Linked DNA regions of Diceros bicornis minor. The protein of the gene in region 2 interacts with the protein of the main gene of each other region in a pairwise test. Links are inferred from orthologs where the notes say so. Each region holds a gene or a part of one and is shown on either strand. Other genes may lie near its edges.

What was found. The genes of interacting proteins can lie anywhere in the genome.
Region 1: the proteins of TPM3 (region 2) and KXD1 interact in binary tests that used the Homo sapiens proteins (3 or more experiments, as listed by UniProt). The two-hybrid records come from large-scale screens. The link is inferred for Diceros bicornis minor from reciprocal best matches to the Homo sapiens genes TPM3 and KXD1.
Region 3: the proteins of TPM3 (region 2) and IKBIP interact in a two-hybrid assay, tested with the Homo sapiens proteins (2 studies listed by BioGRID). The two-hybrid records come from large-scale screens. The link is inferred for Diceros bicornis minor from reciprocal best matches to the Homo sapiens genes TPM3 and IKBIP.

Annotation. Positions count from the first base shown.
Region 1 is NC_080759.1:6,173,698-6,181,699, reverse strand, and holds the start of KXD1 (kxDL motif-containing protein 1), read right to left. Parts: upstream 3,010-8,002; 5' UTR 2,917-3,009; exon of another isoform or gene 2,882-2,916; intron 2,767-2,881; exon of another isoform or gene 1,522-2,766; intron 92-1,521; 5' UTR 71-91; coding exon 1-70.
Region 2 is NC_080743.1:58,274,195-58,281,302, reverse strand, and holds the start of TPM3 (tropomyosin alpha-3 chain), read left to right. Parts: upstream 1-4,095; 5' UTR 4,096-4,110; coding exon 4,111-4,224; intron 4,225-4,840; coding exon 4,841-4,966; intron 4,967-7,108. UniProt on the Homo sapiens protein: Binds to actin filaments in muscle and non-muscle cells. Plays a central role, in association with the troponin complex, in the calcium dependent regulation of vertebrate striated muscle contraction.
Region 3 is NC_080764.1:24,197,640-24,205,183, forward strand, and holds the start of IKBIP (inhibitor of nuclear factor kappa-B kinase-interacting protein), read left to right. Parts: upstream 1-4,535; 5' UTR 4,536-4,614; intron 4,615-4,782; exon of another isoform or gene 4,783-4,859; 5' UTR 4,860-4,870; coding exon 4,871-5,046; intron 5,047-7,544. Other genes in the region: APAF1 (apoptotic protease-activating factor 1), read right to left, coding at 201-390, 1,062-1,199. UniProt on the Homo sapiens protein: Target of p53/TP53 with pro-apoptotic function.

The DNA of each region.
Region 1 (8,002 bases), on a different chromosome or scaffold from region 2:
CATCGTCCACGTTCACCATGCTCAGGATGCGGCTGCAGAAGACCCTTGAGGCCGAGTCCGGGGTGTCCATCTCTTCCTCCTCCTCCGCTGCCTGAAACAGGCAAGAAGAAAGAGTCTTCAGTCTGCACCAGGCACCAGGAGTTGGGACAGAGAGGAGGGGCTGGGAACCGCAAAGGCTGTTTGAACATGAGTCGGTCACGCCACCTGAGCCTCAGCTTTGTCACCTGGGAATTCGGGGGTGTTCTGAGAACTACAGGAGACCATACTTATAACTTGCACCCCAGCACATGAGAACCCCTTAGTCCCTCCCACCTCCATGGCTCCCACTCTCCATGTGCCCGAGGCCAGGGGAAATTTCCACCTGCATAGATCTGCCAGCCACCTCCCACATCCCCCTGCCTTGGCCCACTCCCACCACAGGGCCTTTGCACCTGCTGTCCCCACCGGTAGCACATGCATGGCTGCCCCCTCAAATCATCAGCACCTCCAATGTCTTCTCTCCCGAGGTCTTTGATGATACCCCGAGGTCTTTGATGATACCCCAACTCTGGTCACTCTTATCACTCTGCCTTGTTTTAACTGCTTCACTGCCACACCTCTTCCTGAAATTATCTCAGTTGTCAGTTGATCTGTTTGCCTGTCATCCCCACAGCAGTGTCAGCTCCAAGAGAGCAGAGACTTGTCTCTCTCCCTTGCTGCTCTGCTCCAGAACGTGGCTCATAGCAAGGGATGGCCAGAACTTTGGCGGAGGCTGACAGAACCTTTCAAACTCAGCCCTGATGCTAGACTTTTATTAGCAAATTAAAGCCAAGAATTTCAGGCACTCAGAGCCAGGCTGCGGGCCCCAGGTCCCCGGCACCCAGGTGACCATTCTGGTGGGTGGGGGCTTCCTTGACCATGCCAGGGCAGGAGGGGCCACAGCTTCAGCACTGACCCTCCTGGTTGGGGGGAGGGTTCAGGAGAAACCCAGAATCCTGACATAGTTTGATTCTGGCGTCCACACATTTAATGGCTGACAGAAAGGCCCACTTGTGACTGGTGAGAATTCACACACAGGATTAGCAAGGTCTTTCAGAGCTCACTTGATCCACCCTCCTCTTTACAAGGCACTAACGTCATACACCAGGAACTGTTATCATCCTTGTTTATATATGAGAACACTGAGGCTCAGGGACTGAGGAACGGGGCCACTGTCACACAGCCAGAGAACCTGAGTCACAATTCACATGCCCATGCTCTGCAGGATCCACAGAGGTGTGAATCTGAACAGGTGTTCATTATCCACCCATGACGGGACAGCTGCTGCTCTAAGCAGCTGATTCCTGCCAGACTTCTGATTTTTTCCAGGCAAAAAACAGAAATACGGGTTTTTTTTCCTGTGAAATCGCCTCATTTACAAATGTCAGCAACCAATATTTTTTCCCCCCCAAACACCATGTAGTCAAGTGTTATCTATTTGAGCCCTGAATCTGGCTAGCGATTTGCAGCCCCTACATGCCTTCTAGAAATAAGCTGCCATACCTGGTGAAACTCTCCTCATCCAATTATCGCCATGTTTATTGAGCTCCCACTATGTGCCAGGTCTGGACACTCACAGTCTCCGATTTTTGAAGAAGCATGATCATGTATAAACAGGACACTTGCGCTCAAAGGGCAGTCATGTGGCAGGACCCACAGCCAGAGCCTGACAGGTTCAGGGTTCTGGACCAGTGGGAAACCATTCTGCTGCAAAGTACAGCTCTTTCTCATCTCCAGCTGCCAGATATGAGGGCTGAAGGATTCAGGGCACACTCCCCACTACCCTAGCTGTCTCCCTCAGGAAGCCTTCCCTGACTAACAGCTAGTCTGGCCCACACACAGGGTGGAAATGACCCAGCAAGGGCTCTGGCTCCTGCTCCAAATACCTTTATGAGGGAAACACACAGACAGGGAGGCTGTGTGACCTTGGAAGAATCACCTCACCTCCCTGAATCGGTTTTCTCACCCAGAAAATGGGAATAACAAAGAATCAGCACTTCACAGCGCTATCTGTGGGGACTGAAGCCAATTGTGATAAGGATCTGGGCTGTTTCTTCAAAGGGAGTGGGAAGAAGTCCTAGGGCGGGGCTCAGGAATCAGCTTTATTTTTGAGGAAGATCAGCCCTGAGCTAACATCTGCCAATCCTCCTCTTTTGGCTGAGGCAGACTGGCCCTGAGCTAACATCCCAGCTCATCTTCCTCCACTTTATATGGGACGCCAGCACAGCATGGCTTGACAAGCCCTGCGTTGGTGCTCGCCCGGGATCCGAACCGCGCGCACCCAACCGCCTGCGCCACCGGGCCAGCCCCAGGAATCAACATTTTAACAAGGGCTTCCCCGGTGCTTCCAAGAATATGAGCAAACACTTGAATAGCACTTCATTTAATCCCCAACCCTCCCTATGAGGCAGACACTATCATCTCCGAAGGCAGCTAAGGCTCACAGAGGTGGACTCAGCTGCCCAAGGTCACATGGCAAGGCGGAGAGGCGCCGCCATTCCACCCAAGTCCTTAACAGAATTTAACTTGGTGGCACAAGCTCAGCAAAACGAGCGCGGAGGGGCTCGCATATCCCCTCACGCCCCGCCCCTGCAAAGTGGGGAAACAGGCCCAAGCAGACCAACGCCCGGTTCCGGGTAACAACACAGCACAGCCTGAACACAAGCGGCCCAAACTCCCGTGCCCCGGATCCGGCCCGCGGCTCCGCCCGCGCGTCCACTGCGCAGACAGGGAAACCGAGACCTGTGCGCAGGAGGGGTGCCCAGATGTGGCCAGCGGCGCGCCCCACCCCACAACAGCCCGGGGACTACACCCGACCCGGCCCGGCCCGGCTCCCCAGCGGCCTCGGCGGCCCCAGCCCCACCCCGAACTCGGCACCAGCGTCGGTGGCAGCGGCACCTGCACATCTGGCGGCCTTGCTCGCGCTTCCGGGATGGCGCCCGAGCCTCCGCGACGTCACCACGCACCATGCGTGCGAGCGCGGGTGGCGGAGACGTACCCGGGGCCGACTGGCGTGCGTGGAGGCGCGGCAGGAAGGGGTGGGGCTTAGACGCAACTCCTGTTCCCGTGTGCGCCACAACAAATAGCCAATCGAGCAGTCCCTCTCGCGCCTGCGTAGTTTCCTAAGCCCGGGCTCCCTGGCAGTCCGGAAGTGGGTGGTGGAGGCTGGGAGACGTCCTGTTTTATACATGGTCAAACTGAGGTCCGAGAGCGGCAGGCGCTTCCGCAAGGTCATATAATGCTTCAGTGGCCTGCGGTCGACCCAGACCCAGGTGTCTTGCTTTCCAGGCTGGGAATCAGATTCATCTGGGTTCAAAAATCCCTGCGTCGCTTTTGGTGACCTTTTTCTAGTCCAGGATCCCATCCAGGATCCCACGTTGCATTTAGTCGTGTCTCCGTAGTCTCTTCCACTCTGTGACAGTTCCTCAGTCTTTCCTAAATTTTCATGACCTTAATGCTTTTGAAGAGTACTGGTTTTGTAGAATACTCATCAATATGGGTTTATCCAGTGTTTCCTCATGATTAGACTGAAGTTGAGCAGTTTGGGCAGGAATCCCACAGAAGCGATGTTGTGTCCTCCATGCATGGTATCAGGAAGCACGGGATGTTGATGTGTCTCGTTATTGGTGATGTTGACTTTGATTACTTGCTTAAGGCAGTGTCTGCCAGTTTCTCAACTGTCCAGTTACTATTTTCCCTTTTATAATTAATAGGTATCTTGTGGAGAGATACTTAAGAGCCCATACAAATACCCTAGTTTTGGGGGTTTTTTTAAACATATTTTTCACCCACTAGTTTTAGCATCCATCTGTGGCTCTTGCCAGCAACAATGATTACTATCGTGTTTGCATAATGGTGATTTTTTTTTTATAATTTTTTTTTAATTTATTTTTTCCCCCCAAAGCCCCAGTAGATAGTTGTATGTCACTGCTGCACATCCTTCTAGTTGCTGTATGTGGGACGCGGCCTCAGCATGGCCAGAGAAGCGGTCCGTCGGTGCGCGCCTGGGATCCAAACCCCGGGCTGCCAGCAGCGGAGCACGTGCACCCAACCGCTAAGCCACGGGGCCGGCCCTTTTTTAATTTTTTTTTTAATTTATTTTTTTCTGGTGATTTTCTGTTTATTAATTTAATTATTAATTGGAATTCTACTGTAAACAAGAGCTGTCCATTCTCCAATTATGGATTTATTCAAGTATTTGTATCACTATGAACTTATGAATATTTATTTTATTCTGTGGATTATAGTTAACTTCTTTTCTTTTTTCCTTTTTTTTTTTTTTTTTGCTGGTAACATCCACTGCCAATCTTCCTCTTTTTGTATGTGAGCCACTGCCACAGCACGGCCACTGACAGACGAGTGATGTAGGTCCACACCCAGGAACTGAACTTGGGCCACTGAAGCAGAGCCTGCCGAACTTCACCACTAGGCCACCAGGGCTGGCCCAATTTCTATATTATTTATTTTTCTGCCTCTTTAAGTTAGCCCCTATGTCATTTTAATATGTCTGCACCTTTCTCTGAGCACTTCCTTACTTTTGGCACCACAAGATGTTCCATGCTTGCTTTGGAATATCTCTGGAGTCAGCCATTTCTCCAAAGAGCCTGGTACCTTTTCTTGGAGAATAGGATTTAGAAACCAAGATCTCGGGCCAGCCCCGTGGCTTAGCGGTTAAGTGCACGCGCTCCGCTGCTGGCGGCCCGGGTTCGGATCCCGGGCGCGCACAGACGCACCGCTTCTCCGGCCATGCTGGGGCCGCGTCCCACATACAGCAACTAGAAGGCTGTGCAACTATGACATACAACTATCTACTGGGGCTTTGGGGGGAAAATAAATAAATAAAATCTTTAAAATAAATAAATAAATAAAAGAAACCAAGATCTGGGTGCTGGCCATGCTCACTGCCACTGGGCTATCATTGCTTAGAGACCCTCTCAGCAGTCAGAGTTAGCAAATACATGTATGCCTGCTAACCCATGCACACACATTTATATTTACTTCTATATCTGTCTCCTTGTATATAAACTGAAAACTGTGAGTTCATACTGATATGAGGATGCATTTTTAAGTGAAGTAATCCAAGTTAAATGCAAGAACAAAATGGGGCAAATAGTAATTGCTCAATAAATGTTAATTAATTACCATTAGTTATTGAGGTCTTTTTATTTATTTATTTATTTTTGTGTGAGGAGATCAGCCCTGAGCTAACATCTGCCAATCCTCTTCTTTTTTGCTGAGGAAGACTGGCCCTGGGCTAACATCCATGCCCATCTTCTTCTACTGTATATGGGACGCCGCCACAGCATGGCTTAACAAGCAGTGCGTTGGTGCGTGCCTGGGATCCAAACCGGCGAACCCTGGGCCGCCGCAGCGGAACGCGTGCACTTAACCGCTTGCGCCACCGGGCCGGCCCCAGTTGTTGAGGTCTTATGATGTGTATATGTTATATATTGTATGTCTAATTTTTCTGGGTCTCAGTTTGTTAACTGGGTGATCACAGCATCTGCCTTTTAAGGTCGTTGAGAGCTTGGGAGATATTGAGAGCTTGGGAGATGCACACATGCTCTTAGGCACATGGAAGACTCTTTAAGAGTCCTGGAATTGGACATATGTGAGTTCTGATTCCAGTTCTGTCACATCCTAGCTGGGTGGCCTTGGGCAAGTGGTTTAACCTTATGAAATCATGCAGGTTAATTCCTTACAACAAGTCTTGGCCCACTGTAAGCCCTCGGTAAACCGAGGGTAGACTGTATTATTACTGCCACACTCTGCTGCCTTCATTCATTGAAAAGTTAATGAAGACCAGGATTCTTATATAGTCAGTTCAACAAACAGTTTTAAAAATTGTTCAGTAAACTCTCTAGCCACCCTTTCTAGGAGTGGCCCATATTCTGGGCATCCAGAGAGTACTCAATTCATGCCTAGCCCTGGAGGATGGAGACAGAGTCTGACACAGACACTCCCATCCCTAGGGGAACAGTGCTGGGCTAGAGGGAGGAGAGACTCAAGACTGAAGGAACCTGAAGAATGGGGTATGAGGACTCGTTTTGGGGACAAGGAATCAGGTACATCTGGATGGTTTTTTTGTGTGTGTGTGAAGAAGACCAGCCCTGAGCTAACATCCGATGCCAATCCTCCTTTGTTTTGCTGAGGAAGACTGGCTTTGGACTAACATCCGTGCCCGTCTTCCTCTACTTTACATGGGACGCCGCCACAGCATGGCTTAACAAGCAGTGTGTTGGTGTGCGCCCGGGATCCGAACCGGTGAACCCGGGGCTGCCACAGCGGAGCACATGCACTTAACTGCTTGCGTCACCAGGCTGGCCCCTGGATGGGGTTTTGAGGTAGGATTAGGAGTTTTCTAGGTGCTGACAACCATTCAGGACTGAGGGAATCACAGGAGCAAAGACAGGATGGTGGGAAAGCACATATCATGGACTCTATCTTTGTAAAAATTGTGGAGCTCAGTAAGCCAGGCGGCAGCCACTGCTGAGCGAGGAGCCGGGGCGGAGGCTGCTGGGAAAAGTGGAACCACAGCTCTGTCTGCAGGCTGCAGCAGAAGAGGCCCAAGCTGGAGAAATCAAGCTTTTTGATGGGTCCCTTGGGCTCTGTTGGAGGCCAGGAAACATTTACAAGGGTCCTGGAAGGGGTGGGGGTTGCACATCGGGCCAAAAGGGACTTGGCTGGCCTCAGATGTTTTGTGCACAGTGGAGTGGAGACAAGAAAATATTTCCCTCCTTTGTGTGTTCAAGGGAGAGGGTTGGAAGTGATGGGAACACTCAGTCAGCTCAGTGATGGGGCCACTGGTCTGGGGAAGGCCTAAGTCTGGGGACTGGAAGCCTTTCTTTTCAATTTTTTTGCCACTTCTTTTTCCTACATAACACTCATCACAGCTGCAAATTAGATACTTAACTGCATCATTCTTTGTGCAATATCCAGCTCCTTGGCTGGAATAAAAGCTCGGTAATGGAAGATACCTAACCCATACTGCCCTTCATCACTGTGACCTTGAACAAGGTAATTACCTTCTCTGTGCCTCAGTTTCCCCATCTGCAATATAAGGATAACCTTACCAAAACACATGCACCCAGTCCTAAAGAAAGCAAGAAAGCAGAGAGAAGAGCATAGAGCAGGTAGGACAGAGAAAAAAACACACAAGATGGCATATTTTAAGTCCAAATAGGTCCATAATTACATTAAATGTAAAATACACCAAATGCACCAATTAAAAGACAAAGATGGGGGTCTGGCCCGGTGGCGTAGCGTTTAAGTTTGCGTGCCCCACTTTGGTGACCCAGGGTTTGCAGGTTCAGATCCTGGGCGCGGACCTGCACACTGCTCATCAAGCCATGCTGAGGCGGCGTCCCACATGGAGCAACTAGAAGGATGTACAACTACAACTATCTACTGGGGCTTTGGGGAGACAAAAGGAAAAACGGAGGAAGATTGGCAACATATGTTAGCTCAGGGCCAATGTTCCTAAAAAAAAAAAAAAAATTTCCTCCTTCGTTTAAAAAGAAAAAAGACAAAGATGGGCAGACTAGACCAAAGAGCAAAACTCAACTCGATGCTGCTTATAGGAGACACATGTACAACATGAGGATACAGAAAGGTGGAAGATAAAGGGTGGAGCATTTAAAACAGGAACCAGGGGCCAGCCCGGTGGCGCAAGCCGTTAAGTGCGTGCGCTCCGCTGCAGCAGCCCGGGGTTCGCCGGTTCGGATCCCGGGCGCGCACTGATGCACTGCTTGGCAAGCCATGCTGTGGCGGTGTCCCATATAAAGTGGAGGAAAATGGGCACAGATGTTAGTCCAGGGCCAGTCTTCCTCAGCAAAAAAAAAAAAAAAAAAAAAAAACAGGAGGATTGGCAGATGTTAGCACAGGGCTGATCTCCTCACACACAAAAAAAACAGGAACCAAAGGAAAGCAGGTGTGCGACCTTAACACCAGACAAAGTCCACTCTAAGGCAGGAAGCATGGAGAT
Region 2 (7,108 bases):
CCTTGAGCAAGTTACTTTAACTTTCTGGATCACAGTTCCTTATATGTAAAATGGAGATAATGCCTACCTCACTGTCTTGCTGTGGGGATTAAGTAAAGCACTTAGCAGAGAGGTGGCACATAATGCCCAATAAATGGTAACCCAAATGATGTTTTCCTGCCCTATAATAGTTTTTTCCCTTTTTATTTCCTCTCCATTACATGGCTGCCCCCCACCTCTCACCACACTCCCTCACCAACTCCTTTGATTCCTCTTTCCTCTGTTCACTTGGACCCACAGAACACCCCACCCCCTCTGCCTTGATCCCTGACCTTGGCCTCTGTCCCCAGGGCTTGTCAGTGCCAGGCTGACTCCAATATTGGCAGACTGGCCCCCTACAGAGCCCATGTCCTCTGATCCTCTCTGCCTACTCTGTCTGCTCTCATCACATCAACTGAGTAGTTCACCCTATTACACCCATCTAGCCCCTTTCCCTCTGTGGCTGGTGCCTTCTCCAGCTCCTCTGGCTCAGAAGGGCTTAGTCTTGTTTGAAATGGCTGTATAGAAGGTATTTCCAGAATAGCCAGAAAGCTTTCATCAGAGGTTATCTGATGTTTCTGCCTAGTTATGCCATCCAAAGTGTCCTTCTAAGAAAGCTGCTCCTCCCTACATCAATATTCCCAGTCTCTTCCTCTGTTCCCCTAGTGCCCTAAACACTAAAGTCCTTAAGGGCCGGCCCCGTGGCTTAGCGGTTAAGTACTCGAGCTCTGCTGCTGGTGGCCCGGGTTCAGATCCCGGGTGCGCACCGACGCACCGCTTCTCCAGCCATGCTGAGGCCGTGTCCCACATACAGCAACTAGAAGGATGTGCAGCTGTGACATACAACTATCTACTGGGGCTTTGGGGGGAAAATAAATAAATAAAATTATAAAAAAAAAAAAAAAAAACACTAAAGTCCTTTCAATTCCTGCTAGTCCCTTTCTCAGCCTCTTTCCCTCCAGCCTCTGGTTCTCCAAGGTAGTCAAGGTTCCCAGAGAAGGGAACTAGAACTTGGGGGGTAAAAGTAAGAGGGACGGTCAAGAAAGTAAAAATTACACACAAACTCCCATTGAGAGCCATAAAGGAACAAGGACATAAGACAACACCACAGGTGCCTACTTTGGGGGCTTGTATGCCCATTTGTTAGTCTTCCCCTGGAAGGCAAGAGCCAAACAACAAGAATTGACTGAGGCTTGGGACAAGCTATCGATCTAGATCAAGGGCACTGTGGAGCTGGTATATGTGTTTGTGTGTGTGTGGGGGGGGGCGGGTGGTGTCTGGACTAATGGGAACAAGGACACATGGAACAGGCCTGGGGGCTGAAGCAGAGCATTCTCCTCCCACCCCCACACTTCCACCCAAGCCCTCCACCCCACCAGTGCAGCTATAACCCGGGGTCCTTTCTGCCACAGTAGAGAGAAGCATCTGCCTGCCACAAGACATTCAACAAACCGGATTCTCTTTGGAAGAAAAATCCCTCAGAAAGGAACCAGGCTGGATCCCTGTGAGGGAAGACTCTTAGAGAAGCCAACCCAGGAGTTCTTGCCGTAAAAAGCCCCAGAAGAGGAGAGTCCTAAGGACAGCAGGCTGCTCTCTGGCACAGGGGGTTTCCTCCCTCACCCTTGATCTCCTCAAGTCTTAGTTTCAATTCTGCCAGGCAGGGGAGACCATAAGTCTTCTTCTCTGGAGCGTGCCAGTGAGACATGTCACTCTTCTCTTCTGGACATCCAAGGGTGACTTTAAGGAGGATGACTGGAGGACATGGGAAGAAGGTGAGAAGGGACAAGATGGTGGGAAGCAGCAGCCAAGCATTCTGCAAGTTTCTTGTGGCTACTTATCTGTAGTACTCAAGAGCAGGAGGGTTCCAGGATGGTGTCACTGAAAAGCCGTCAGCAGTCTTGTGGGGGTGATATGGAAAGCTTAGGAGTTCTGTTGGAAAGGTAAAGCAGGAGGACAAGCCCCCCACCCCCACCCCCAGAAAGCCTCAGGGCAGCTGGAAGGGAGTTGAGAGCAGGTGGCTAGGCTGACGAGGAGCTGCTGACACTGCTGATCCTCTGGGCGCTGGGGCCGTGACATCAGGGGGAGAAGCTCTGTGTAGGAGCTTTAAAGAAGGATAGGTGCCCGGACATGAAGCCCTGCCAGATATTCTCCCTGGTTTAAGCCAACGTGATCCAGCAAAGGCCAGGCACTGGTAGGAGAGGAGCTGAGACAGGGACGGCACGAAGGGCAGATGAGTAAAAGCCAGCTGTCTTGGGAGGCAAAGAGCAGGGTTTGGTGCCCTTCCCCAGGGAGATGGCTCTCCATCTAGCCATGCTTGGTGCCTGGTGTTTCTGCTTTGTCCTTTCTTTGCAGTGGGGGGAAGGCAGGTGACCACCACAGCTCTCCTGCCTGCTTCTGTGTGATATGTTTGATATTGGGTTGTTTAATTAGGAACCAACTAAATGTCAAACATATTCTTACAGCAGTGGGCACTTTGGCATCACACTCTTTACTACTTCAACCTCCAGGGCTCTGGGGCTCCTGTCTTTTTTACTGAACCTCTTCTTTCCAGGACCCCTTTGGAACACTAGTGGCTGCAACCTACGAGGATTTCAGTCTTAAACTGGAGGACTAGTGTGGGAGCAGGAGAGTGCTGGAATTTGAGTATCAAATCTTCCTATATCTTTCCCTTATGCTAGAAGGAATATATCTCTGATTTTCTCCTGTCCTTGTATTTTTCTCCTCCTTATTCAAACCCCCCCCCCCATTATCCACTGCTTCCTGTCCCTGGGACTTCCTTGTTCCTAGTCCCACAGTAGGGGGCTTTGGTTTCTCTGCTTTCCTTAAAGAGTCAGCTGATGGCGTATCTGCCTATCTACCTCTAGTGACTGGAAGCTCTCAACAGTGGACTTCAGTTTTGCCCTCTGCCCTGGTGGGTGTCTCAGCTACCCCATTGCTGGGGCTTAGTATTAACACTACCCATCTATCCTTGACATAATGACTAATTAGATCCATTTATATTCTTCCTTGATAGCTCTGGTCACCTTGAATAGTGCCCACCTCTCCTCTGGCATATTCTCAGATTGTATGGTGCCAGTGTACTGGGATCAACTGCCACTTGTCAGTAATGAGGCCCCAAGTAGAAGAATGAACATGGCCTAGAACTAAGCAGGGGAGAATAGAGCTGGTAATGATGATTATGATGATGAGCGTGGGGGGGTTGGGGGTAAGAAGGGAGCAGAGGGTGGGGAGACGAGAAGACAGCAACACCTTGGTCTATGTGGATATAGAAGTTCTCTTTAAAGATCACTATGGGAAACAGAGGACATGATCCTATCTAGATTACTCTGACCCTCCCCTGCTTCTCTCCCCACCCCTCTTGAAGCTCTGGGATGGCCTTCCAGATCCCAACCCTACCCTCTTACTCCATCCCTGTGGCTCTTAAGGGGGAGGAATGATGTCTCTCTGCCAATTAGAGACTCTCAAAATAGCACAGTAATTTGATCTGGAGATCTGGGGGAATTGTCAAGGATCATGAGTGACCTCCCCTCCTCACTGTCCCTCAAGCTCCCTGAATACCAGGAATCAAAAGGTAAAACTCAACCAGTGGAGTTTGATCAGCATCCAACACAGTCCGGGTGAGAGTAAGGGGGAAGCTGAAGGGCAACTAGGATCCGCTGAGTGAAAACTACCATTCTAGAGTTGCCAAAGTACCCTTCTCTATTTCAATATTCTCCCCTCCCCTCTCCCTGCTTTTTAAAAACACCCATAGAGCTGCCCAGAGTAAGTGGAAAGTTTCAGGGTCAGGGAAAGCCTCTCCCCTCCCCCACTTTCCATTGTCTAAAATCAGCCTCAGCTGTTCCCCCATTTTTTTTTTTTTGCTGGTGATGTCAGTCCATCGGAGTGGCTCACCCTGTATTCCCCCAGGAGAACAATGATGGGGTGGAGGGAGGTGGAAAGACCATATTAGGAACAAGAGGTGGAGCCATGAGCAGAGATAAAGGCTCAAGTCTGGGGAACTCCTAGACACTCTGCCAGCAGCCCCTCCTTTCTTGCCCTAGTCTCCAGTTCTCCAGTGTTCACAGGTGAGCCCACCAACGGCCACTGCTCACGATGGAGGCCATCAAGAAAAAGATGCAGATGCTGAAGTTGGACAAGGAGAATGCTCTGGATCGGGCAGAGCAAGCTGAAGCTGAGCAGAAGCAGGCAGAAGAAAGAAGTAAACAGGTAGGCCCTGGCGTTGGTCTCTCTTAGCCGCTGGTGAACACGACTGTGAGATGAAAGAGGGTTTGCACGCAAAAAGGCAGTGACCACTGGTGCCAGCTTGTTCTTTGGGTGGGAGGGACTCTGCTTCTTCCCCAGCCTCACTGGATGGGCAGAGGACATCTAGTGTATCTGCCTCAGACTGCCTGTGTGACCTTTGGAAAGTCAAGGGCCCCTTCTGAGCTACAGAGTGTCTGCTAGATTTAAGTGGGAGTGGATCATGTTTTGGAAGAATCCCTGATTTCTAGAAGAAAAGGTGGGAGCTTGATATGCAACATCTCTTTTTCCTTAAATGGAGTAACAGGCATCTACACCCTGAGATATTTACCATCCCAGGGTCTTAGATGAAAACCCAGCATGGCTTGGTCATCATCTTAGGGTCAGATATCAAAGAGTCACAGGCCAAGGACATAGCATAACTCCTGGAGCAGTTGGCTAGAAGTGACTGGGGAGAAGGTATGTCTCTCTGGGGGATGGTAACATAAAGGTTGGGCTCAGGGGTCTGTCTTAAGAGCCCAGGGTCTGAGCCTGCACTGTTGTGTACAGTATGTTTTGTGTGTGATTCTTGGGGCTCCTATAGCTGGAAGATGAGCTGGCAGCCATGCAGAAGAAGCTGAAAGGGACAGAAGATGAGCTGGACAAGTATTCTGAAGCTTTGAAGGATGCCCAGGAGAAGCTGGAGCTGGCAGAGAAGAAGGCAGCTGATGTGAGTATTGGAAAGATGGTGGGTGGGGTTAATCTACACACACAGATGTTCATGTTATTATGACTAAATTCCAAAGACACTTGGACATATACAAAGTAAATTCATAGAACACAGACATAGATGCCCCTATACATTTTTGCATATAACCACATGTTGGCATACCCTTGTAATGGCATAAATTTCTTTTTTAAAGACATGGAGAATTCTGATTTTTGTCTCATTCCCAACCCAGGAATTTAATTATCTTTCCCAGGACCTGAACAAAGGGAGGGGACTCTAAATCCAGATTGCTATCACTTATCTATCCCACCTCCTCCCCCATGCCACATTCTTAGCTTTCAAGGCTTGGCACGTAGATATGTGTATTAATAGAGAAACTCTCATCTCTCAACTCCCCAGCAAAGTCAGCTCAGATTTCACAATGGGACAAAGGAGGTCACATTGACGCTGGCCCTACATGGGTTTATTTGTCTTGGCCAATGTGGGCATCTGCCCTTATGCCACAGAGATGTCATAGTAAGCACTGCTCATAGGGCAGCAGAGAGGATCTTAGAATGATAGACTATAACAGAAATAAGAAGAAATCTTAGAGGGTAAAGGTATCACCACCAGACCTTACCCTGTGACCTTGACGAAATTACTCAGCTTCTCTAGGGCTGAATTTTCCCATTTGAAAATGAAATTCTCGGGGCCGGCCTGGTGGCACAGCGGTTAAGTTCGCGCGGCCTGGGGTTCGCAGGTTTGGATCCTGGGCATGCACTGACGTACCGCTTGTCAAGCCATGCTGTCGCAGCGTCCCATATAAAGTAGAGGAAGATGGTCATGGATGTTAGCTTAGGGCCAATCTTCCTCAGCAACAAGAGAAGGATTGGCATCGGATGTTAGCTCAGGGCTGGTCTTCCTCACCAAAAAAAAATGAAATTCTCTTTTCTTCTTCAAGCTATCCAATAATCACCTACTTTCCTTCATCTTCAACCTTGAAGTTTATCACAAAGATGAATGAGAGACCACATAGGAAAGACTTTTGGAAGAAAAGTAACATAGGAATCTTAATAGCAACAAAAGAATGTCCTGGTATTGATGGAAATAGATTCAGTTCTCAGCACTGAGTTAATAGGAAAAGTGGAGCATGTATTTTTTAAAATAGCATTTGGTTTTGGAAAATAGCTAGAGAGACAACGTGGGTCGTTCACAAATGTTTTTGGATTCTCACATTTGGCCTCTTTGCTGTTAGGTTTCTGATCTTCTTTTTGGCTTTCCCCCATTATCTGTGGCCCCAGGAAGTGGTGAGGGTTGTTGAGTATATCATGCCAGAGGTCAGAGACATAAAGTGGATCATACACATTATATATATTCATAGTTTCCAAAAGTTTAGGCCACTGCAAACTACTAATTCTTCCTTCTTGAAAAACTGCAAAAAACACAGGTTACCCCCAGGGCTTTGGGCAAGTGCCTGATGGCCTGCTGGAGTTGCCTAACTTAGATTCCAGGTATAGGCGGATAGAGCTCTCTGGTTCCAATAAACAGGCATCGAGATAGAAGTTTTCACAAACTGGAACAATGTCATGTTAATAACAGTATTATGAGATGTTGGGTAACAACTCTCTGGGAAAGTCCTTAGGTTGAAACAGTAGTTATGTGGACTTCAGGAGGTGTTTGCAGGAGCAACGAAAAGAACTAACCAGTCTAACCTGAGATCTTGGGAGACAAAGAATGACATAGAGGCTCCAGACAATATATCAATATCATTGGGAAGATAAAGGAACTTCCTGGGGATGATTCTGTCTGTCCTAAGCTGTTTTACACACATACACACACACACACACACACACGCAGCGTCATCCTCCACCTAGACAGAGTCTATTCAGTATATTCATTTGAAAGAAGCTTCTCATATTTATATAGGAATCCACAAAAACCATTTAAATATGTAATGTGTGGGTAAAAAAATGCACTCAACTTCTCTCCCCCTTATTAGCTTTCCCAACAAGTCAATAAGTACCCTCAGAGATATGTAGGAGAACAAGAAATAGGAGAGGAAGGTTGTGGGCAGGAGGCAAAAATCTGTTAGGCCTGGTTAAGGTGGAAGCAGGAAGAAAGGTTTTCTCAAAGCTTAGTAGTCAGCAAACTATCACCTGTGGG
Region 3 (7,544 bases), on a different chromosome or scaffold from region 2:
CAGTAGAGTTCACTGCACAAGAAGAAAATGTGGGAGTAAACAGAGATGCAAATAAAAATATTTAAATTGGAAAACATAACTATAATTTTTTCACATGCATTTTTCAATGAACTAATCAGTCTCTTCAGCAGACTCCATCTACAATAAGACAACGCTGCGGCAAGGTAGCCACTGTGATAGAAGGTACCATGGGTACAAACCATATGAAGTTATTCCACCAACTGAATCTTTGCCGTTGGAAGAAGAGATAACAGGAATGCCACCATGGAGACGGGCAGCAAGATCTTTATACCCTTCATGTAGTAGAGCCTTGTAGAATGATATGTAGGAATAATTATCTTTTTTAAGTATCAGTTTAATTAACATAGCTGCTTTTTGTTGTCGAGTGGGCTGAAAAAAATAAATAAATAAAAAGCAGTTTAGTATACTACAAAGAATATGTTTGCAACATAAATTAGTGGAGACCAGCACAAGTTCTGAAATAAATTCTAAAAATTTTTAAGAAAGCACAGAGGGGCCAACCCAGTGGTGTAGTGGTTAAGTTCACATGCTCCACTTCGGCGGCCCAGGGTTCACAGGTTCGGATCCTGGGTGCGGACCTACACACCACTCATCAAGTCATGTTGTGGCAGCATCCCACATACAAAGTAGAGGAAGACTGGCATAGATGTTAGCTCAGCGACAATCTTCCTTAAGCAAAAAGAGGAAGATTAGAGGCCAGCCCAGTGGCGTAGTGGTTGAGTTTGTGCGTTCCGCTTCGGCAGCCTGGGATGCACCAGTTCGGATCTTGGGCATGGACCTGCTCACCACCCATCAAGCCATGCTGAGGCACCATCTCACATAGAAGAGCTACAACTCTACAAGCATGACATATAACTACATACTGGGGCTTTGGGGAGAAAAAGGAAAAAGAGGAAGATTGGCAACAGATGTTAGCTCAGGACCAATCTTCCTCAAAAAAAAAAAAAACAAGTAAAATGAATGTGCAAATTTGCACAATTTAACTTAAAAAAATTAAATTAAAAAAAAAAGAAAACATAGACTGCCTCAGAGGGCTTTACCTCATTTTTCACTTTTTCCTCCTCCGATACTGTTAAAACTCCATCACTAATCATGTGATCCATGATGTAGGAGGTTTTAATGTCCTTTTCCAGGGCTTCTCTATGTTGAAGCAAACAATTTCGAGCTTTTGCATCCATCCTCCTTTAAATTTTTCTCTCTCTGAGCTGTCAACCATGAGCTACAGGCAAAACATCAAAATATTTGTCAGGACAATAAAGATATGAAAAGACGTGTAACCTCACTGATAATCAAGAAATGTAGAGAAAATAAGATTTTTTTTTTGCAAAGATTTTTTTTAAATGGACAAAACAAAATGCTTTCAAAGATGTGAGAAAATAGGTATTTTTAGGCACTACTTGAGGAGAGTACTAAATGGATGCAACTTTTCTGGAAGGCCATATGATAAAATACAGAAGTGTTTAAAGTAAGCATTCTCTTTAACCCAGAAACCCCACTTCTAGGAATTTATCTCAAGGAGACATTCACATTTGTATGCAAAAATATGCACAAGAAGAGTTAACAGAGTGTGTTTAGGTGAGAAAAAAAGATGAAAACAACCTAAATGGCCATCATTCTAAGTATGGATTTAAAAAATTAGAGTATGTACATAAAATGGAATATTACACAGCCATTTAAAATGATAAGACACATCTCCATGTACTGACATGGAAAGACGCTATGAGACACTGCTGACAAAAAATTAGAAATAAGATCCCATATATAGCACAAAATATGTGTTGGTATCATATAAAACATAGGGAGATGTCTAGAAGTTTGTTCAAAAAAGGTTTGGGTTACTTCCAAGAGGCAAGATTTGGGTTTTTTTTCCCTCTTTCTTTTTTGTACTTTTCTACATTGTCTTAATTTTTTTCAATACACATCATCATTTTTACAATAAAAAAACTTCTTTTAAGTTAAGATTTTTAAACGGGGCCGGCTCCGTGGCTTAGCGGTTAAGTGAACGCGCTCTGATGCTGGCGGCCCGGGTTCGGATCCCGGGCACGCCCCCAGGCACCGCTCCGAACCGGGCACGCCCCCAGGCACCACTTCTCCGTCCAACCCGAGGCCGAGTCCCACGTACAACAACTAGAAGGATGTGAACCTATGACATACAACTATCTACTGGGGCTTTGGGGGGGAAAAAATGAATAAATAAAATCTTAAAAAAAAAAAAAGATTTTTAAACGGCGGCCATACTGAAGTCCTAATGCTTAGAAACTTCTTGTTTTCTTTATCCAATATAAGACTAAATAGAGCATTGTTGGTATTGAGCATTAGTTCTCGCTCAAGGTGGGTGTCAGTGCTAGGTCTTCAGTGGTAAACACATTTCTCACATGCTCACTCCGCTAATGTTTCAGCTGAGCTGCTAAGTATGACAAAGCAACAGAAAATACCCTCTGATGTCATTTCTTGAACAAAGAGGACACAAAGAAAGAACAATATTCTTTATAGTATAATACGCTAAGCTTCTACCAACTTTATCTCAAAAATATAGTGCAAATTTTTCCATTGGTATAAAACGTAGATCAGAATGTTTGCAAGTTTTAGAAATATTAACAGAACTCTATCCAATGTATTATAGTGAGTGTCTAAATGTGTTTATTAATTTATTCATTCAGGGACCAGCCCGGTGGCATAGTGGTTAAGTTCAAACCCCCCGCTTTGGCAGCCCGGGGTTCGCAGGTTAGGATCCCGGGCGCGCACCAACGCACCACTTGTCAAGCCATGCTGTGGCGGCGTCCCATATAAAGTAGAGGAAGATGGGCACGGATGTTAGCCCAGGCCCATCTTCCTCAGCAAAAAGAGGAGGATTCGCATCAGATGTTAGCTCAGGGCTAACCTTCCTCACACACAAAAAAAATTTATTCATTCAATAAACATTTGAGCCCCTCCTACATGCCAGGCCCTGAGTCTATAGAGAAGATTAAATCATATCCCTGAAGGAATTCACAATCTAGTGGGAGAGAAATATAAAGAGATAATCAGAATGTGATGTCCTAAGTGAAAAAATAGAGATAACCACAAGTAATTTTAGATTGCACAGAAGAGGAGCAATAATCATTAAGCTTCAATGATAACTATATATTTTTTAAGTGCCACCAAGGCACTTGAAAACATAGGGAAGTAGAGCATTTGCCTATGCTTATCAAGGTTCACAAAACGCCCAGTACTGGCATGATACTGATTGATAAAAGAAAAATTTATGATTAGAATCAAAGCTATCGTACTTTTTAAATGTTAATAACGTTTTTATGCTCTCAATTTAAACATAAAACATCCCTTAATTTTTAATAACACTCGATTTGACAAAACAAAAATGAATTTTGTAGTCTATGTCCAATAGCTAAGAAAATAGACATTTTGACAATCTGAAACTAATTTCCAACTTGACCTAGCCCTATTAAAAATACGTAAATTTTCAGCACGTTTTTAAACTCTGCACAAATATTCTGAACAAATTCTCAGTGTCCCACCTTTCGCAAGCACACCAAAATGGGAAGTCAAAACTCTTCATTGTAAAATGGAAAGGAAGGGCAATTTCATCCGGGAAAACCGTAATAGTTTAGACTACTTCCTCCTTAGATAATTTCTCTTCCTGGTACAGGAGTAGGATGGTTATCAATTACACTTTGTCCCAGAATTGAGTCCCTGAAATCGGCTATTGAACCTCTGAAGCAACCAGCTCGGGGAGAAAAGCAAGGCGCAAACTTACCCAAACCTCCGCACCAGGGTCTTACTGGCAAGAGCAGCCCTTCGGAGACAGACTGAGAAACCAAGGTTGGGGAGGAAAAGGCATCGGGCCTTCCGAAAGAGAATACAGGGCTCGGGGCGCAGCCCCGGGACAAATCCGGGCCTCACAGGGGCTGCACCCGGGCCTCCGCCGTCCCGGGCGCCTGAAGACCCCCGGAGACCTCCGGCCGGTGGAGGTAGGCGTCACCTCCCTGGGCTGACCACACACTCCCGGCGCGCCGAGATGCGGCCCGGCCCGAGGGCTGCCTTCTCGGCGGACCCCACCCCCGACACAAAGAGAGGAGGGCCACTCGGCTTGTCGCTCCTTCACTCCGGCCGCAGCTGCACCCCGGCCAGTCGGGACGCTGCCGCGGCGACTTCCAAGTCCTCGCGGTGTGCTGTCGGCCCAGACTTCCTCACCGCCTGCTCCCTCCCTCCTTCGGCCCAGGAATAGAGCACCCGCGTCCACTTAATACCGTCGCCTCTCCGTCTCAGAACCGCGGAGCAGTCAAACCCCGCCGGGCCCGCCCAGCCCGGACAGCGCGCGCCCGCGCATGCAAATAAATACACGCCGAGCCACTCCGGGCGGCCGCCGCCGCGCGCGCACCCGCTCCGGCTTGTGCCCGCGCGCGCACAGGGAGCGCCCTCCGCCCCACCCCACAGCCGGGGGCGTGGCTAAGCCACAAGGGCGCGCGGCGGTCTGAGGGAGGGAGGGCCTCGGCGGCGGCGCGCTCGACGTGGCGCGGGCCCGCCCCGCCCCGCCCCCTCGCGTCCCGGCGGCCCGCACGCGCCCGGGAGCTACGATTTCCTCAGGTTTGCTAGGTGAGCGCAGAGAAAGCGGGGGGTGGGGTCTGCGCCTGCCTCAGCTGGAGGAACTGGAAGGCGGGTGGCTGGGGTGCGCTGTGAAGCAGTGAAGATGGCCGGGAGAGGGAGGGCACTGGCACTGGTTTCCGGGCGGCGCCAAGTCCGAGAGGGGGCGCGGTCACCGCCGAGGCTTCCCTCGGAGCTCAGGCGGCCACGTCCCGCTCCCCCAGGGTGAAGAGGCCGCCCGGGTTTGTCGTCCTCAGGACCTCCAGACATGTCCGAGGTGAAGAGCCGGAAGAAGTCGGGACCCAAGGGAGCCCCCGCGGAGCCCGGGAAGCGGAGCGAGGGCGGGAGGAGCCCCGAGGCCCGAGGTGGTGGAGGCGGGGGCTGGGCGGACCCCCGGACCGGCCTGAGCCTGCTGTCGCTGGGGACGTGCCTGGCCCTGGCCTGGTAAGTGTCCGGCCTCCGGTGGTCGCCCGCCCTTCGGGGTCCAGTCCCTGTCGTGGCCCCACCCGACTCGGCATCCCGTAACCTTCAACCCCGAGACTTGTGACTTTGGTTCATCTGCCGCCACCCCAGAGAAGGGACAGCCAGCCCAACTTTTTTTTTTTTTCCGTTATCTCATTTCTTGTAACTCATTTTTCCCTTGTACTAGTATCGTGCCGCGATCGCTCAACTGGAATTGAGGCTAAGGTTTGGGGAGGAGTCAGCCATTAAGAGATGCGGATTCGGCCAAACTTTATTAAGCGCCAACTACACGTCGGGAGCTTTCGCGTTTTTATAACCCGTTACTTCCTGTCCGCTGTGCATCTGTCCGGGACAGATTTGCCCCACCCCACCCCGTAAATGCCTAATGGAAACGTTTGCAACCTTCAAAGAATTCATTATGATTTCAGAGCAACAAACGTTTGTGATAATATCAAAGTTGGGAGGATCAGTGTGCATGCGTTATGAATTTAAAGTCTCTTCCTAAATTACAGACTGAATTTTAGTACTGTAACGCTACAAAAGTATATAGCACTTGGGTTCACCTAAAACTAAACATTTATAGTTTTTAAACCAAGCAAATAGCGATATTTTGGGGTCATAGGACAAATGAATATTAGAAATAACCTTAAAACCAACTTATTCATTTTGTTTTCCCCAATCGTTTTCTTTAGGAATAACCTATTTCATTTTAATAACAAGACTGATGCTTTAAATTAGAATTCTCCATTTTTTTTTTTACCTGTTTTTAAAGTATTTAGAAGATAGTTATTTGTCTTCAAGAGTAATGGTATTCCAGAAGGAACCCTGGACATCTTCTAGTCTGCAACATTTTTGATGCTAGTAAATTCTTTTTTTTTTTTTTTTTATTTTTCCCCCAAAGCCCCAGTAGATAGTTGTATGTCATAGCTGCACATCCTTCTAGTTGCTGTATGTGGGACGCGGCCTCAGCATGGCCGGAGAAGCAGTGCGTTGGTGAGCACCCGGATCTGAACCCAGGCCACCGGCAGCGGAGCTCGGGCACTTAACCACTAAGGCACGGGCTGGCCCAGATGTTAGTAAATTCTGAATTATACTTTACTGCTGACTTATCCTGAGTCGAAGTTAATAAAAGATTTGCCACAATGAACTGAAAAGTTGATTTAAATATCCTCTTCAAAAAAGATAAATTGTTTATTTTAGTAATATGGTATTTTTGTTTATGGGATGTTTTTATTTTGATCTTAAAAAAATAAATGCACTGGATTTACTGTTTTAAAAATAAACTGCTCTGGGCCAGCCCCGTGGCTTAGCCGTTAAGTGCGCGTGCTCCGCTACTGGTCGCCCGGGTTTGGTCCCGGGCGCGCACCGAGGCACCGCTTCTCTGGCCATGCTGAGGCCACGTCCCACATACAGCAACTAGAAGGACGTGCAGCTATGACATACAACTATCTACTGGGGCTTTGGGGGAAGAAAAAAGGAGGAGGATTGGCAATAGATGTTAGCTCAGAGCCGGTCTTCCTCAGCAAAAAGAGGAGAATTAGCATGGATGTTAGCTCAGGGCTGATCTTCCTCACAAAAATAAAAATAAACTGCTCTTATGTCTTAAAATGCATGACCTTCTTTAGGTAAATAAAAAACCCATTTTGTATTGAAAAAGTTTCCCGTAATAGAACTTAGTAGGCTAAAAGACATATGTTGCTTCTCTCTGGAGCCTAATACAACTGGTTTTAGTTACTAAATTTACTAATTCTAATTAATTATCCAAAGATACATATTCATGTGAGGTAAATTACATCACAAAATGTTCAGCTTTTCAATGATTTAGTTACTGCCATGGGAAAACACACTAATAGGAATCTATAAAGGAAAAAAACTTGAAAAGTAGAGCTTCAACTCAGGAATTTACTGTTAGTGCCTACAATAAAGACACAAACAAGTTACATTCATTAAGAAGATTTTATTTGAACTGTCTCCAAAATAATAAAACAATATTTAGTCAAAGATTATTTTTATGGGGCTGGCCCCGTGGCTTAGTGGTTAAGTGCGCAGGCTCCGCTGCTGGCGGCCCCGGTTCTGATCCTGGGCGCCCACTGCTTCTCCCACCATGCTAAGGCCGCGTCCCACATACAGCAACTAGAAGGATGTGTAGCTATGACATATAACTATCTACTGGGGCTTTGGGGGGAAAAAATAAATAAATAAAATCTTTAAAAAAAAAAAAAAGATTATTTCTAAAATGGACAGATTGTATGATTGTTATTAAAATAGTTGCCTGTTAATTGTTCTTGTGAAATCTTTTGCCGTAAGAGTCGAAGTGTAAATACTTTGGTTGCTGTTTATAGCAAATATTTACTCATGGTAAATTTGGGAATAAAAAATTATTCTGGTAAGACATTTGCAAGCATTTTCCAAATAAAAACCAAATACTTGGCATCTGAAAATATTTAAAAGCACACTAAAATTGTAACAAAGCCATTGAG